Linked DNA regions of Sus scrofa. The protein of the gene in region 1 purifies or fractionates together with the protein of each later gene. This does not show direct contact. Links are inferred from orthologs where the notes say so. Each region holds a gene or a part of one and is shown on either strand. Other genes may lie near its edges.

Region 1 (5,525 bases):
AACAGTTTTGTGGAGAGAGGGACCGAGACTTCTTTTTATACTCCTGGAAGCCTGGAAGTAGGAGCTCAAAAAGTGCTCACCAAATGGGAAAACCAGGGTGTTATCCTGTGGGGCCCGGTCCATAACACCTCAGCCTTTGTTTTCACATTTAGCATATTCACAGACACTGTAAGGCAGTGGAAAACCAATAGTTTTCCATCAAGTTAACAACTTTTGAAATGTTCAGGAAGAAAGACATTTAAATTCCAATTCTTTACTTCTGAATGTCCCAGGAATTGGTTTTTAAAACAATCCTTAATATTAAAAATATTTTAGAAAACAGAAATTGAAAATGCTTGGCAGTATGTTAGCCACCTGAATAATAACAACAAATTGATTTTAGTAGCAGAAATTGAAATACGACACCTGGAGCAGCATTTAAACCTGGGTGTATATAAACGTCTATATCTTTGTGTCTGAACAAAATCAACTTCAAGCTCATATAAAAATATTCTATCTGAAAAACCTAGTTAATGCATATTTTTATGAACTCAGCATAAAATAAGGACAACTTAGCATTTTCATACACAAGTAAACACACTTCATCTTTTACTACCAAGATCTGAAGAAACCACAACATTTAAAAAAGGATAAACACATAATTTTTGCTTAACTTGGGTGTTAAGAGATTGGATGTGTAATTCTAATACACTATTTCCCTACAGTCTTCAAGTGCAAATCATCAATCGTTTCCCAATGTTAAAAGAAGGAAAACCATTTTTTTACTGTATTCATGTTTAAAAGGTGAACAACTGTTCTTCATTTAGATACAAGGCAAGCATTTTAGGCTGATTTCAATAAGAAATCCTTTTTTTTTAGCAAACACAGTTTCTATGGTTGCTGGTTATACTAGTAATCTAAAAATAAAAACAAGTTATTTCTGGTTTCACTGAATAAATCACCACCAGTACAATTTAACTCCACAATAAGGGAGCCTAAAATTTAAGAACACTTTCTTTTCCCCCAGGAGGAATAAAACGTAAGCTTCTGAAATAATGTATCTATAAATAAGAAGATTAAATAACACCCGTTTCCAACAAGAAATAAGCAATAGCTCTGCTACTTTAAAAATGCAAACCAAAAGCCAAGAATCTTAAATACCCACATCCTGGGGACACTGCAGTTTATTGATCTACAGTCGCATCTTTTGGCCAGGTGTTGAAGCAGAAATATAAAATAATGTTACTGCATTCCTCACTAGCAAAGAGAATGCCAAATTAGTTCAAAAAGTCCTTTCTGACAAAAATAATGAATTCCCCCCTCCTCTGCCACCAAGGGACCTTTTCTAAAGGGGAAAAAAAATCCTCTCTATAAATAAATAAATAAATAACAGATACCTCCGGCCTCTTTGATGTTGCACAGCTTGACAAGCAGTTTGCATGAAAATAATTCCCTTCAATTCAGGAAATTCAAGGATCTCGAGATAATCTTGCACAACTTTCCAATCTGGGATCATGTAATGAGTCACATCACTAGACAAGAGTTTTCCATCTGAAGCATAATTCAAAATGTGAGAGATTAGACGACGTTCGCAAACCTGGTTTATTTGGATGTCACTCCAGGTGTGCAAAACAACTCCCAATCTTAACTACACCGTGAAGTTTTCAAGACAAGACAAATCTACCTGGGTAGAGGCCAAACATTCAGGTAAATTCAGCACCTTCATTTTTTCTGAAGCTGTGATAAATAAAAGCTCAATGTGGTTTATGGTGTTGCCAGGGGTGTAGAAGACGACGGATTGAAAAAAAAACAACACACATGCAAGCAAGCAAATCTTCAGCATAACCTGAATATATCTCTGTGTTAACTCACTGCCCTACACTCCCATTCAAGTGGGGCTCCCCAAATATACATGTTAATCGCTGTTTAGGCACAGCCATTTCAAACTGGGTCTGTCTCAATCTTGTGAAGGTGCTCAGAAGTCTCCAAGAGCCAGAGAAATTGAATTGACTAGAAAAGATGCTCAGTGCAAGCAGGCACAGTGGTGGGATTTCCACCCAGCCCGTGGGTCCAAGGTGGATAGCCAAGTGGTAATTGAAATGTTCACCTTAACCATTAGCTAAGGATCCCAAATATTCGCTGAAAAGGACGACCACGCTCCTCTCCCACTTCAGGGAAGAGAACCAGGAACCTCCACCATTAAACTGGCCACCTGCGCGGCCTAGACATCATGTGGAGGAAGGCGTGGTGGAAGGCCCACCCCAACCCAATTTCCTCGTGACCTTCCGGTGCGCGGGCCCTGATGAGCCGCAAGTCTTACAGTGAAGAGGGCTCTCCACCGGATAACCTTCTGAGGCCTCGGTGCTGGCAGGTCAGAAAATGTGTGGGGAGCAAAGCAAAGAAATATACAATGAGCAGCGGCAGCGTCAGCTCCCCCCACCAGGCTCGCACAGCTGGGGGCCCCCAGCCCGGGACCTTCCCATTTCACCAGCGCGAGCTGGGGAGCAAGAGCCGCCCGGCTCCAGCGCCCCCAGGCTCAGAAAGCCCCAACCCCCGGCCTCTGCGCGGCGAGGGCGCTGGCCTCTCAGCCCTTCCATTTTCTGGGGCCGAACAGTCGGGAGTCGGTGTGGAAAGACCGGAAGCTTCCGGCCCCTCGTGCCCGACCCGCAGCCCGGCCCGGGGGTAAGCCTGGAGGCGGGAGGAGGCCCGAGGGCCTCGGACTCCGCGCCACCGCGGCCCCGCGCTCCGCCTCTGGGCCGCGCCCTTGAGCCTCAAGGCCGACGCTCTGCCGAACCCGTCCTGCCGCCCTAGCTCCCTCCCGGCCCCGACCGCCCGCGCTCCCGCCGGGCCCTGACCGTTGTGGCAGGAGGCGGGCTGAGGGCAGAGCGGGCTGTTGCAGGGCACGCTGGGCCGCAGGTAATGCTCCCGCACGATCCGCAGCGTCCGGCCCTGGAAGGTCTTCAGGAGCAGCACCTTCTCTCGCTTCTGCAGCATGGTGGTGACGCTCCCCGGGCAGAGCTCCGGGCTCCGGGAGGCCGCCCCGAACGAGCGGCCGGGAAGCCGCGGGCGCAGCGCTGCGCGGGCGGAGGCGAGGCCGAGGCTTCGGGCCCGCCCCCTCGGCCCCTCTTCGCGGGGCTCCCAGCCGGCCGGCCTTACTGGCGGCGGCCTGAGCCCTCTGGGCTCCGGAGGGAAACCGCCCTAATGGCCCGCGTCCCGGGTTGAGAGCAGGAGGCCCGCGGGGTGGGTGCTCCAGCCGGGCCCGCAGGCTCCCTCAACCCCGCCTCAGTTTCTCCCCTCCCTACAATCGTACTGGGGTGGAAATGCCTGGGAGGGGCGGAAACCACGCAGAAGACTTAAGGGAGACAAAGTTAATACAGGTCTTCCTCCACTGACGGTGGCGTTACGTCCTGATAAACCCAAGTCGAAAGTTCATTTAACACCCTTAGTCTACCCAACATAGCTTGGGTTTAAGCTTAGCCTACCTTAGACCCGCTCAGAACACTTACTTTGGCTTACGGTTGGGCAGAATCATCTACAAGCCTATTTTATGACAATGTTGAATGTTATGTAATTATTGAATGCTGTACTGAAGGTGAAACACGAAATGTTTATAAGTGTATCGATTGTACCCCTCGTGATCTCGGACTGTCCAGGGAGCTGGGACTCAGTGGCTGCTCAGCATCACTGGAGTGTCCTGTGGCATATGGCTAGCCCAGAAAAGATAAAAATTCCATGTGGGTGTCACTTTCACACCATGGTAAAGTACACAGATTTTAAGTGGAACTGTGGTAGGTTGGAACCCATTGTAAATGGAAGTAGTTTAGTCTTGTGAAGGTTTGGTACAACTGTAGAGAACTATTATTCTACCCTCTGGTCCATATGGGAATAGGGCCGCCTTATTGATACGGATAATTATTAGTGTTTTGTATTAATATAATTATTTGTGTTTTCTGTTCTTGCTCTTGCCATCCCTGGAAGAACTAAAAGACTGAGCAAATAAGCCAGGAACCCTGCCAGCTAAACATTTTTTTCCTCTTTAAAAAGCTGTATTCATTTTAAATTTCATGTATTTTTAATCTATATAAAAATTCAAACAATGCAGATAAAAATGGAAATCAATCCCTCCTTCCCTTGAGGTAAACGTTATCCATTCAACCTCAACATGAGAGCATTTGCAGCCTCTGGCAAAAGATTTCTCCTTTAAATTTGCTGGATACTAACACAGTCTTTTCTGTGATCACACACCCTTGGTTGTCCACTCTACCTCCAAGCTCTCGACACTTTTGAGCTGCTCCAAGAAGCTTTACAAAGAAGCGTCACATTTAACTGCCACAAGTCAGTAGAGTTGGGCATAATTATTCCCATTTTACAGATGATGAAACAGGATTGAAGAGGTTAAGTGGCCAAGATTACCCAGTTGTTAACTTGTAGAATCAATATTCAAGTCAGGATCTGGCTGAATCCAAAGTAGGCTCTTCACTAATTACTATGCTATCCATAGATGAATGAAATATAGCTCTTTTATCTAAGGAGTTGATGGTCTACTTGTTGAGCTCTAGTTAAGGCAGCTCAACCAGCTGGCTGGATATATTGGAGCTTCCTGCATTGCTAAAGTGAGCAGAACCAGGGCATTCTGTTTGATTACCTTCTCTAGGGGAACATATTAAAAAGTCATGGTCCTTTACTCATTGTATTTTTACTCAATTTATCTGCAGTGTGGGACGATGTGAGATCCGAGATGGAATTGCACAGGTTAGGAGAACATTACAGTGCTGGTCCACAGGCCAGAGCACTAGGAGGGCTCACAAGGCAACCTTCTGTGCAGGAAGCTGTTCCTGATTCAAGAGGTCAGTTCTAGTGATCCCAGAAGACAGAAAATAGGATTTGCCCCCTATGTAAAATGCTTCTGACAGCTGCCCACAATTTCCTCCGAAGCTCTCCCATTTTCATTTCTCTTCTTTTTTTGAATTTTTTGGCTGCACCTGCGGCATGTGGAAGTTCCCAGGCTAGGGGTCAAATCGGAGCTGCAGCTGCCAGCCTACATCACAGCCACAACCACATGAGATCCGAGCTGCGTCCGTGACCTACAATACAGCTCACAGCAATGCTGGATCCTTAATCCACTGAGGGAGGCCAGGGATTGAACCCACATCTTCATGGATACTAGTCAGGTTCATAACATGCTGAGCCACAATAGGAACTCCATTTTTCTCTTCTGATTACATGCCTTTAAGTTCTCTCTTTAGCCTTTCGTAGCTTTAAACTTTCAGCTGGGACTGATGATCTTATAAGGAAGAGAGTGTGTCTAAGGCTTTATTGAATGTTGATTTTATCAGCATTTAAAATAAATCCAAGGCCCATCAAGCACTTCTTTTGCTTGCATTGCAGCAATAGTGTACAAATTATGCTCTTAAAAGCATGCTCCCTTAGTTCTTTTTTTTTTTTTTTTTTTTGTCTTTTTGCTATTTTTTGGGCCGCTCCCGCAGCATATGGAGGTTCCCAGGCTAGGGGTTGAATCGGAGCTGTAACCACCGGCCTACGCCAGA
Region 2 (4,817 bases), about 140 Mb from region 1:
TTATTGCTGGATAATGACAATAAAATATTATGTGGGAGTTTGGACAAGCTTTGAAAGTCTTGACCTGAGCAGACCTAAGCTCAAATCGTGACTCTACACTTTCTAGTTGTGTGATCTGGGGCAAATCCTGCAACAACCCATTCCTTCCCAATATCTCCAGCCTCGGGTCTCTTGTCACTAAATGAGGAAAACCAGGTATTATTTTAAAGTGGTGCCTAGTTCATGGTAAACACGAAGTTAAATGATTACTTCATATATTAGCTATTTTTGTTCATGTTTTTTTTCATGTTTTGTATGTAAGGAAATTAATATCAGAAAGGCTAAGTGGCAACAAGGGTGCCCAGACCACTCAATAGGAAAAGGCAGTCCTTTCAACAAACGGTGCTGCGAAGCTGGATATCCAAATGCAAAGCAATGAAGATGAGGCCTTACCTAACAACATATAAATAAAAAAATTAACTCCAAATGGACCAAAGACTTTTAAACAAATGGACTAAACGTACGAAACTCTTAGTTTTAAGAAAAGAGAGGAGGAAATGTTAATTTGAATCTGACAGTGACTTCTTGGGTACGACACCAAAAGTAAAGGCAACAAAAGAAAAAAGTAGATAAACTGGACTTCATCAAAATTAAAACTTAAGAATAAAAAGACAACTCACAGAATGGAAGAAAATATTTCTAAATCATATACTGATAAGGAATTAAAACCCCAAATATATAAAGAAATGAAAAGATGCTCAACCTCACTAGCTATCAGGGAAATGCAAATCAAAACCAGGATGACAGACTCCTTCACACCCATTAATTTGCCTATTATGAACAAACAAAAAAATCATACTCCCCCCCCACACACACAAAAGGAAAACAAGTGTTGATGAGGAAGAGGAGAAATTAGAACACTTGTGTACTGCTGGTGGAAATCTAAAAATGGCACAGCTATTATAGTTTAATGGTTCCTCGAAAGTTAAACATAGATTACCATATGATTAAGCAATTCCACCTCTAGATATATACCCAAAAGAATTGAAGGGAGGGGCTCAAAAGGAAATTTGTGGACCAAGGTTCACAGAAGCATCATTCACAATTGCCAAAAGATGGAAACAAACCAAACATCCAACAGATGCTAAATAAATGAATGGATGAATAAAATGTGACATATACTTACAATGGAATATTATTCGGCCTTAAAAAGAAATGAAATTCTGACACATGCTACAACATAGATGAACCTCAAAAACATCATGCTAAGTGAAACAAGTCTGACACAAAGGACAAACATTGCATGATTCCACTTACATGAGGGATGCAGAATAGGCAAATTCATAAAGAAACAAAGAAGAATTGTGTTTACTAGAGGATAGAGGGCAAGGTCATTAGGAGGAGTTCTTGTTTAATGAGTACAGAGTTTGGGATAAGGAAAAAGTTCTGGAGGTAGATGGTATGGATACTTGCACAACAAGGTGAATGTACTTAATGCTAAAGAACTGTACACCTAAAAATGGTTAAAATGGTAAATGTTATATTTTATCACAATAAAAAATCAAAATCAAAACACGAATTTAAAGTCTAATCCATTCTTCTATTTTCTTCCTCTTAAATATATAGAGTTTTTACCATATAAACTAATGGAAACAAAAATATCTATGTCTTAAATAGTGAAATTTTAATTGCTTACAAAGCCTCTTCTTGGTTAAATTTAAAAACTGTGAAAGTTTCTTCCCACGGGGAATGGACTAAATGACAAAACGTGACCATTTTTTTTCTAAAAAAAATCTCACCCTGGTATTCACGAATCAATATACACAGGTGGAGTCTCATAAAGCGCACAAAAAACTTTTAATTCATAAAAGAAACTACAGTACACAGGAAGACAGTATTACTATTCAAAATAACTACTAACCTCCTGACCTCTCTACCTCTCCATTGGCAAAAATTATTGCTGCATGAGTAAAAACACGCAGTAATCAACCTCTCCAGCTTCTCCCCATTGGACACACTGCTTTCTAAGAATGAGTGCCACTCATTCATAGCAATTTCTTGCCTATTGACACATGACTTTTGAATATTAAAAATGTATTTTCAACCATAACAATTTTTTGGAGAGAAGCCTTTAGCGTATGGGAAAAATGGAATATAATTATAAAACTAAAATACAATATCTTACAAGTATAATTTTATAGGATCAAATTTTACATAGAAATAATTACAAAGGATTACAAGCAAAGCACATGGTTATCTCAAAGGTGCAAAAGCGTAAAGTAAATTTAAATGAGCTAAATAAATATATTCCCAACCTTTAAAATACTATCACTAATTTAAATACACTTTAAAGGTCAATTACTATTACTGCTTTACTTTGATTTCAAAGCTGCATCAAATGGTGAAAATGATCTGTTTATATTTTCAAAGGCAAGCCATTTAATGCCACCAGGAAATACTTTTCATTGTCCTGAAGAGACTGTACTATATAAGCTGATCAAGAAAAGAAAGTAAGTATAAATGTAAAAAATGCCCATTTGTTAAATGACAAGAGTAAGATACCAAACTATAAACAGAGTATGGCCCCAAAGAGCTGAAAAACATTACACATAAAACAAAGAACGTATGCTATTCACTAGTAGTATCCTTTTTGGATAGGTAACATTATAGCATAAAATCCCCCCTTTCCCATAAATGTGTTATGTTCAGGTGGTGTTAGTCAATGATAACCTGCAAACCAATCTCACAGTAGGCAGGGTCTAAATGTGTTGCTTCAGCACAACTGAAGTTCACCTTATGTCAAGCATCCCCAGAACATACTCATAAATATCAACAGGTGGATACAATGCACACAAAAAAATACTCTGAAATGTAAAGAATGGATATTTATAGGTCATATGATTATAGAACATTCCTATTATATCTTTATTTTTGTGTGTTTTCTAAAATTTTCTATAATAATACACTACTTTTATAATCAGAAAAACTATAAATAAGCATATTAAAACAAAACAAAATCAGAAAGACCCAATCTAAGAAGTAACCTTTAGAACACATCAAAAGAGAATCCACCCCTTCCCTAAATTAATTTTATTATTATAATCAATTTGTATCTTATTGATGATGAAATTTCTTCCCAATGTCTCTTTGAAAAAGTTCCCAGACTTAAGCATCAAAATAAAAAAACAAAATAAGGAGTTCCTGTCGTGGTGCAGTGGTTAACGAATCTGACTAGGAACCATGAGGTTGTGGGTTCGAGGCTGTGGGTTCGATCCCTGGCCTTGCTCAGTGGGTTAAGGATCCGGCGTTGCCGTGAGCTGTGGTGTAGGCCGCAGATGCGGCTTGGATCCCCTCTTGCTGTGGCTTTGGCATAGGTGGCTGCAGCTCCGATTAGACCCCTAGCCTGGGAACCTCTATATGCCGCAGGAGCAGCCCTAGAAAAGGCACAAAGACAAAAAAAATAAAATAAAGTAAAATAAAATAAAATGATTTTCAAATTCTAATTTCTTGTTTTTCTGGATTAGAGTAACATTAGTTAAAAGTAACAATAGCATCATCACTTGTAAAGTGAGTTACTAATTGTGGAATAAAGTTACACTGAATTTATAAGAACAGTTAACAATTAAACGTTTTAAAACTTACAGGAAATCCTTTAGTGATAGGAATTTCAATATTAAAGATGAGGATTCGGGCTCTGAAACGCGTGCAAGCCTTAATGGGTTCTTTGGGGCCACAAAATATGCAGCCAACACTGTAACAACAACAAAACAAAAACAAACAAAAAAGGGAGAGCAGGCACTTGAGAGAATGAAACACACATCCAATAGAAATATCTCTAAAGCCATTTACAAGATAAAGCAAGCACGTAAATTAGGGACTTTTCCTGAACATTCCCTTCTGGGTTAATGCATGGCTTTACACCATTATTAACCTTATATCACTTTTATACCTTACAGCTTTCCTTCAAAGAACATGTCTCAGGTACAGGTACTGACGTGTATTAATTTCAACTTTAGGTTTTGTTTATCATTCATATACTTTCATAAGTGCCTATTTTTGGCCAGATGAGATTCAGAATTAATACTCATTCTTTCATTTGAGCTGGTGAATTGCAAATTTTACGTGTTTTGAGGTTCTCTATCCAAAACAATGGTCGCTTAAACTCATTTTCTCACTCACTTGATTTTGATGATATCCATCCCAACCAACGTAAGACTAACATGATCGCCCGCTGCTGCCCAGTCGACAGGTTCATCATGCAGAGTGATTCCTGGAAATGAGTAAGAACCAAAGCATACAGTGAAACACCTCAATATCAACCCATAACAACCAAGGGAGTTTGGCTGACTTGTGCCTCATCAGTCACTACTCATCATTTTCAATATGAATGGACAGAGAGTGAGAAGTGTTAGCTGTGAGCGTTGAGGAAAACACACTTCCTCTAGACTTGACTCTTCTGGACCACCACCCTAAACATAAAGTGTCTTGCATTTGTCCATAAAAGGATGATTTTGACTTAATCAAGATTTTTTAAACTCACTTACATAACTGGTATATTCATTGAACAGGCCTCATTCTAAAACTTCTCTTCCATTAATGGATGCAGGCATAACAGTACATAGAGTTCCAATTCCTCCCCCAACCCGAGGCACAGGGAAGTTCCCTGGCCAGGGCGGTTCCCTGGACAGGGATCGAATCCGAGCCACAGCTGCAACCTACACCACAGCTGGGGCAACACTGGATCCTAACTTACAGTGCCACAGTGAGAATTCCCCAATTATTTTTAATAACATAAAAGAGGGGATTGGGGAAGGTATTCAGTAGTATTTTAATCTCTT
Region 3 (4,817 bases), on another chromosome or scaffold:
TCAAGGACGGTGCCATCCAGAGAGGGAGAGGGTCATGGCACGTTCAACCGCGGCTTCCAGAGGTTTTGAAAAAGGAGCCTTTGGGGGCCCAGCCTGCCTGGCATTCTAGTGTGGAAGTGCAAAAGATTGGCACATTGGGAGAGAAAGAGAGGGAGACGCGAGGGAAAAGGAGCATCTGGGTATCAAGGAGGGTTTTCTGGTCCCTGGAGCTGCAGGGCTGGAGGACTAGGCAGACCTCTGCAGATAGCAGCGAGCAGCAGACTAAGGCAAAGGCCCACAGGTTCTCCTAGACTCTGTAAGGACTTGTGCTCATTTCCAGAAAAGTCAGGAAGAATGGCTTCAGGGCATCAGAGAGGGAGAACAGTGGAGAGGGGAGAGTGGAAAAATACCCCTTTCCCTCTGCTATCTGGGTGGACGGGGTGGGAGGGGCGTTTGGGAACCCTGAACATAAGAGTCCTAGAAAAAGCAGGTGTGCATCTCTCCAGCCTGGACTGAATATGGCTGGAGGGCAGAAGCTGCTTGTACTCCAGAACAAAGAATAGGAAAAATCTGCCTTGCGAAAAACGATGTGGACCCAGGACTGCCAAGGCCACCAGGGCCAGGGCTGGCTACTCACTGCAGGTGGCTCAACGAGCCGCACACAGCCATGGGATACGAAGCACCTCCAGTGGAGGCACTGCCAGTTAAAAACTGGCACTTAGCTGGTTTAAGCCAGCTCCACCCCCGACCTTAGCTGTAAATGCAAGGGGAACACTTCCCAAATGGTCTGCCTGCCGAACACCATCGCTGGGCTCCTGACTAGGAATGCGGTTAATAAGCCGGCATGACGATGAGCTCGTTGCTAAGGATGACGATGAGAGCAACGGGAATGCGAGGCTCCTGAGCGCACCCTCGAGGACCTCCAATTACCAAGACTACATCAGCCTCACAAAAACCCTGTCCGGCCAAGCATGACCCTCTCCCACCTCACAGGTGGGGAACTGAAGCAGAGGGGCAGAGACTTGCCAAAGGCACACAAAGGAGAGAACTAACCTCCCGCTCCTGACTCTTAGCTGGCCAGCTCTCCCTCCAGCTGTGAGAAAACCCTAACCCTCACTGCCCCCAGCGTCTTCATGATAACCCGAATTTGTCTATGACATTCGGTCACTGAAGGCCAGTGACTCCTGTTTGTGGACGTCCAGCTCCACGTCCCCGAGTCGCAGGTGGACCGCAGCGCCTGCTCCCCCTCAGCATGCGGGCTCCCCTTAGGTTCTGCTCTCACAAGCACGCTGTTCGGCTTCCTCTACCATCCCAGCTCTAGACGCAAGGAAATGGAGCCAGCATTTCTGCTGAGAAGTCAATTTCCCAGGACAAAGGTAACGACTGAGGCTGACAGGTCACAAAGGCATGCAAAAGCGGGCTGAGGGGCAGACAGGGGAGGATGTAGTGTTCAGTGGAATTACCCTGAAAATCAGCAAGGAAAAGAAGAGCGCTTTCACTTTAAGACAGTGGTTAGTGAATGAGAGGCACGCCAGCCTGTGTGAATAAAGCCAGCCCAGGCAGAGCAACGGGGAGCTGCAGAGGGGCTCCCGCAGTGTAGGTGGGCAGGGAACCTCGCCAGCCAAGAACTGCTAGGGTGGCCAGAAGTACTAGAGGGGAAGACTGGTCTGTCCCGCCTCCTTAAGTCAGTTTTCCCGCACGACCCCGTTCCTCTGGGCCCAACTGAGGACCTACTTCTGCTAAACTTAGGGAAAGGCCCCCCCGAGCCCGCACGACACGTACTTGATGCTGTCGGTATGGGTTTTGTACTCCATAATGGTGTTGGGAGGTAGGTTAAGCACGCGCCGCAGGGTGTCCCGGATGCGGGCTGTGGTGGCCTGGTCGCTGGCAGTCTTGTTCCAAATGGAAATAATGTCCTCCTAGAGGGGCAGCAACAGAGGCGTCACCAAACCAAGCGGGGCCGTGAGAACGGCAACGGCAACACCCGAGAGCAGCCCGGCCCGAGGGGCGGCTTACCTGAAACCGGACCGAGACCACGGCCCCACAGATCTCCTCCCCAACCATGAACTGTTCCCCCAGCATGGCCAGGATGAGGTTCTCCCAGCAACGGGACGCCAAGCCCTTCCGCAGCCGAATGATCCACTTGCCACCGTTTTTATTTGCATCGTCCTGTAAAAAGAAAGCATCAGAGGTAAAACATGGTTTCACAGAATTCCCGTCGTGGCGCAGTGGTTGGCGAATCCGACTAGGAACCATGAGGTTGCGGGTTCGGTCCCTGCCCTTGCTCAGTGGGTTAACGATCCGGCGTTGCTGTGAGCTGTCGTGTAGGTTGCAGACGATGCTCGGATCTTGTGTTGCTGTGGCTCTGATGTAGGCCGGTGGCTACAGCTCCGATTGGACCCCTAGCCTGGGAACCTCCATATGCCGCGGGAGCAGCCCAAGAAAAGACAAAAAAAAAAAAAAAAGAAGCCAACTGCAGTGGCTCGGGTTGCTACAGCTGCTGTGTAGGTTGTAGCTGTGGCTCGGACTCAATTCCAGGCCCAGGAACCATAAGTACGGCCAAAAAATAAAAATTAAAAAAAAAAAAAAGAAAATATGGTTTCACAGCCTTTTTTTTTTTTTTTTTTGGCCAAGGATGCTTTGGTCACTAAGAAGTCTTAGCACTTTCCAATTACTCAACTCTACAGGAAAAGCGGTGGTAGGAGCATGGAGAGAAGAAATGGGAAAAAAAAAAAAAAAAAGTCCAAACCGTTAACAAAATAATGGTCAAACAGACTCTTTAAAAATAATCTTTTTTCAGAACCACATCAAAATGAAATGATGCCAGATTTTAAACACAGATCATTCCTCACTTCATTTGCTAAAAGTTTATCAAGTGTCACCATGTCCCAAACACACAGACATGAAGCCACAGTCTCTACCCGGACCCAGTCCAGTGAGGGAGCCAGACGAGAGAATGAATGACAGCAGCACAGTGTGACAAGCACCGCTGCGAGACAGACACGCACAGCGGGTTCAAGATGAACGAGACAGTCGCTAACAGCCGGGAGGAAGAAACCTCTGGAGCTGGGTCTTGAGGCGCACGGGAATTAGCCGGGCAGTGCCGGCGAAGCCCCCTGCAGGCACTTGAGACACGACTTCGTGCCAACTCTGCCTGTGAGACAGGGAGCTGCCACCCCGGAGGGAGGATTTAGAGAAGACGGGCAAGGGGTCCTGACAGGTAAACGAGGTGCGTGACCAGGTGTGCTACGGAGAGCTCGGAAGAGCTGCAACTGGGGGGGGTGACCACGTCTGTCTTCTACAAAAAGGCTCTGCCACCGGAATAGAGACGACGGATGAGCAAACGGGTCACAGAGTTCAGCTCTGGGTCTCCAGTTACTGCCTGTAGGCTCACTTTTTCCTCACTTTAATCGTTTGTATACTATGATGATACGCACACACCCAGTTCTATGTGAAGAGAGTGATTTTTTTAAAAAAGCCCTTTAATGTCGTTAATAATACCATTTTAGTACTAAAACAGTCTTTGAAAACCATCCACACAGACAAACAAGGGCATCAGTGCCATTTCCTAGAGGTCCTGGTTCCAAGATATACCAAATAGTGATATAGCTTTTAGAAGACTTTAAAATACCTTTTTTTTTTTTCCCTTTTCTTTTCTCTTTGGGACCATACCCGCAGCATACGGAGGTTTCCAGGCTAGGGGGTCAAATCAGAGCTACAGTTGCCTGCCTACACCACAGCCACAGCCACGGGGGATCCAAACTGTGTCGGCGACCCACACCACAGCTCAGGGCAACACCAGATCCCTAACCCACTGAGTGAGGCCAGGGATCGAACCTGCAACCTCATGGTTCCTAGTTGGATTCGTTTCCGCTGCGCCATAATGGGAACTCCTTTAAAATACGTTTAACCTTGACATGACTGAAAAAAGGGAAAAAACAAAAAACCCCAAACATCATCACCACCACCACAAAACCCGCTGAGAAAGGCAGTCTGAGGCTTTCAGTCCTCACCTCCCACATGGGTTTAATTCCTTCTTTGAAGAGATGGAAGTCACTGTGGCCTGTCAGGTCCCCGGGACGTACCATGTGGCTATAAAACCTCCAGAACTGCTCCACCTGCAGAGAAGACAGCAGAGTAAAAAAGATGTTTCTTCCTTGAATGTTGAGGCATATTTAAGAGAAGAGCATAAACACGGAAGACACTGCTAGAGGCTCTACTTTCTGTAGGATAGATTTCATTCAGGGGCTCATGTGAGAAGGGAGGTGTATTAGATAAAGGCAGACGTACATAAAAGAATAACGCAGTATTGCTGATACAACAGTAAACTCTTTAGGTGAGAAATGCCAGCCTCAGAGAGGAGCCGTAGTTGGTGAAGGTCCACATGTGCCTCCTGCAGAGGCCGCAGGAGAGTCATCGCTCGCTGTAAGAGGACCTTGTTTGACACAATAAAAACTATTTCGTCTTGAGGTAAATTAAGGGCCACAGAACCTCAGCCTGAATGTATTTTTGTTAAAGAACCAAATCACTTCAAAAAAAAGGGGGGGGGGGCGACAGAAGTTCCAATTGTGGCTCAGGGGAAATGAATCCGACTAGTATCTATGAGGCTGTGGGTTCGATCCCTGGCCTCATTCGGTGGGTTAAAGAATGGCGTTGCTGTGAGCTGTGGTGCAGGTGGCAGATGTGGCCTGGATCTGGCATGGCTGTGGTGTAGGCTGGCAGTTGCAGCTCCAATTAGACCCCTAGCCTGGGAACTTCCACAGGCCACAGGAGCGGTCCTAAAAAGCAAAAAACAAACGAAAAAAACAAACAAACCAACCCTACAAAAAAACCCAAGG

What was found.
Region 2: the proteins of DIS3L (region 1) and HBS1L purify together in Homo sapiens (affinity purification with mass spectrometry; 5 studies listed by BioGRID and IntAct, with this or other methods). This does not show direct contact. The link is inferred for Sus scrofa from reciprocal best matches to the Homo sapiens genes DIS3L and HBS1L.
Region 3: the proteins of DIS3L (region 1) and EIF4E2 purify together in Homo sapiens (affinity purification with mass spectrometry; 3 studies listed by BioGRID and IntAct, with this or other methods). This does not show direct contact. The link is inferred for Sus scrofa from reciprocal best matches to the Homo sapiens genes DIS3L and EIF4E2.

Annotation. Positions count from the first base shown.
Region 1 is NC_010443.5:164,307,971-164,313,495, reverse strand, and holds the start of DIS3L (DIS3-like exonuclease 1), read right to left. Parts: upstream 3,377-5,525; 5' UTR 2,974-3,376; coding exon 2,835-2,973; intron 2,351-2,834; exon of another isoform or gene 1,700-2,350; intron 1,531-1,699; coding exon 1,377-1,530; intron 1-1,376. UniProt on the Homo sapiens protein: Catalytic component of the RNA exosome complex which has 3'->5' exoribonuclease activity and participates in a multitude of cellular RNA processing and degradation events.
Region 2 is NC_010443.5:29,041,449-29,046,265, reverse strand, and holds part of HBS1L (HBS1-like protein), read right to left. Parts: intron 4,250-4,817; coding exon 4,159-4,249; intron 3,731-4,158; coding exon 3,622-3,730; intron 1-3,621. UniProt on the Homo sapiens protein: GTPase component of the Pelota-HBS1L complex, a complex that recognizes stalled ribosomes and triggers the No-Go Decay (NGD) pathway.
Region 3 is NC_010457.5:133,074,325-133,079,141, reverse strand, and holds part of EIF4E2 (eukaryotic translation initiation factor 4E type 2), read right to left. Parts: intron 4,098-4,817; coding exon 3,993-4,097; intron 2,149-3,992; coding exon 1,996-2,148; intron 1,899-1,995; coding exon 1,762-1,898; intron 1,444-1,761; coding exon of another isoform or gene 1,377-1,443; exon of another isoform or gene 106-1,376; coding exon 33-105; 3' UTR 1-32. UniProt on the Homo sapiens protein: Recognizes and binds the 7-methylguanosine-containing mRNA cap during an early step in the initiation. Acts as a repressor of translation initiation.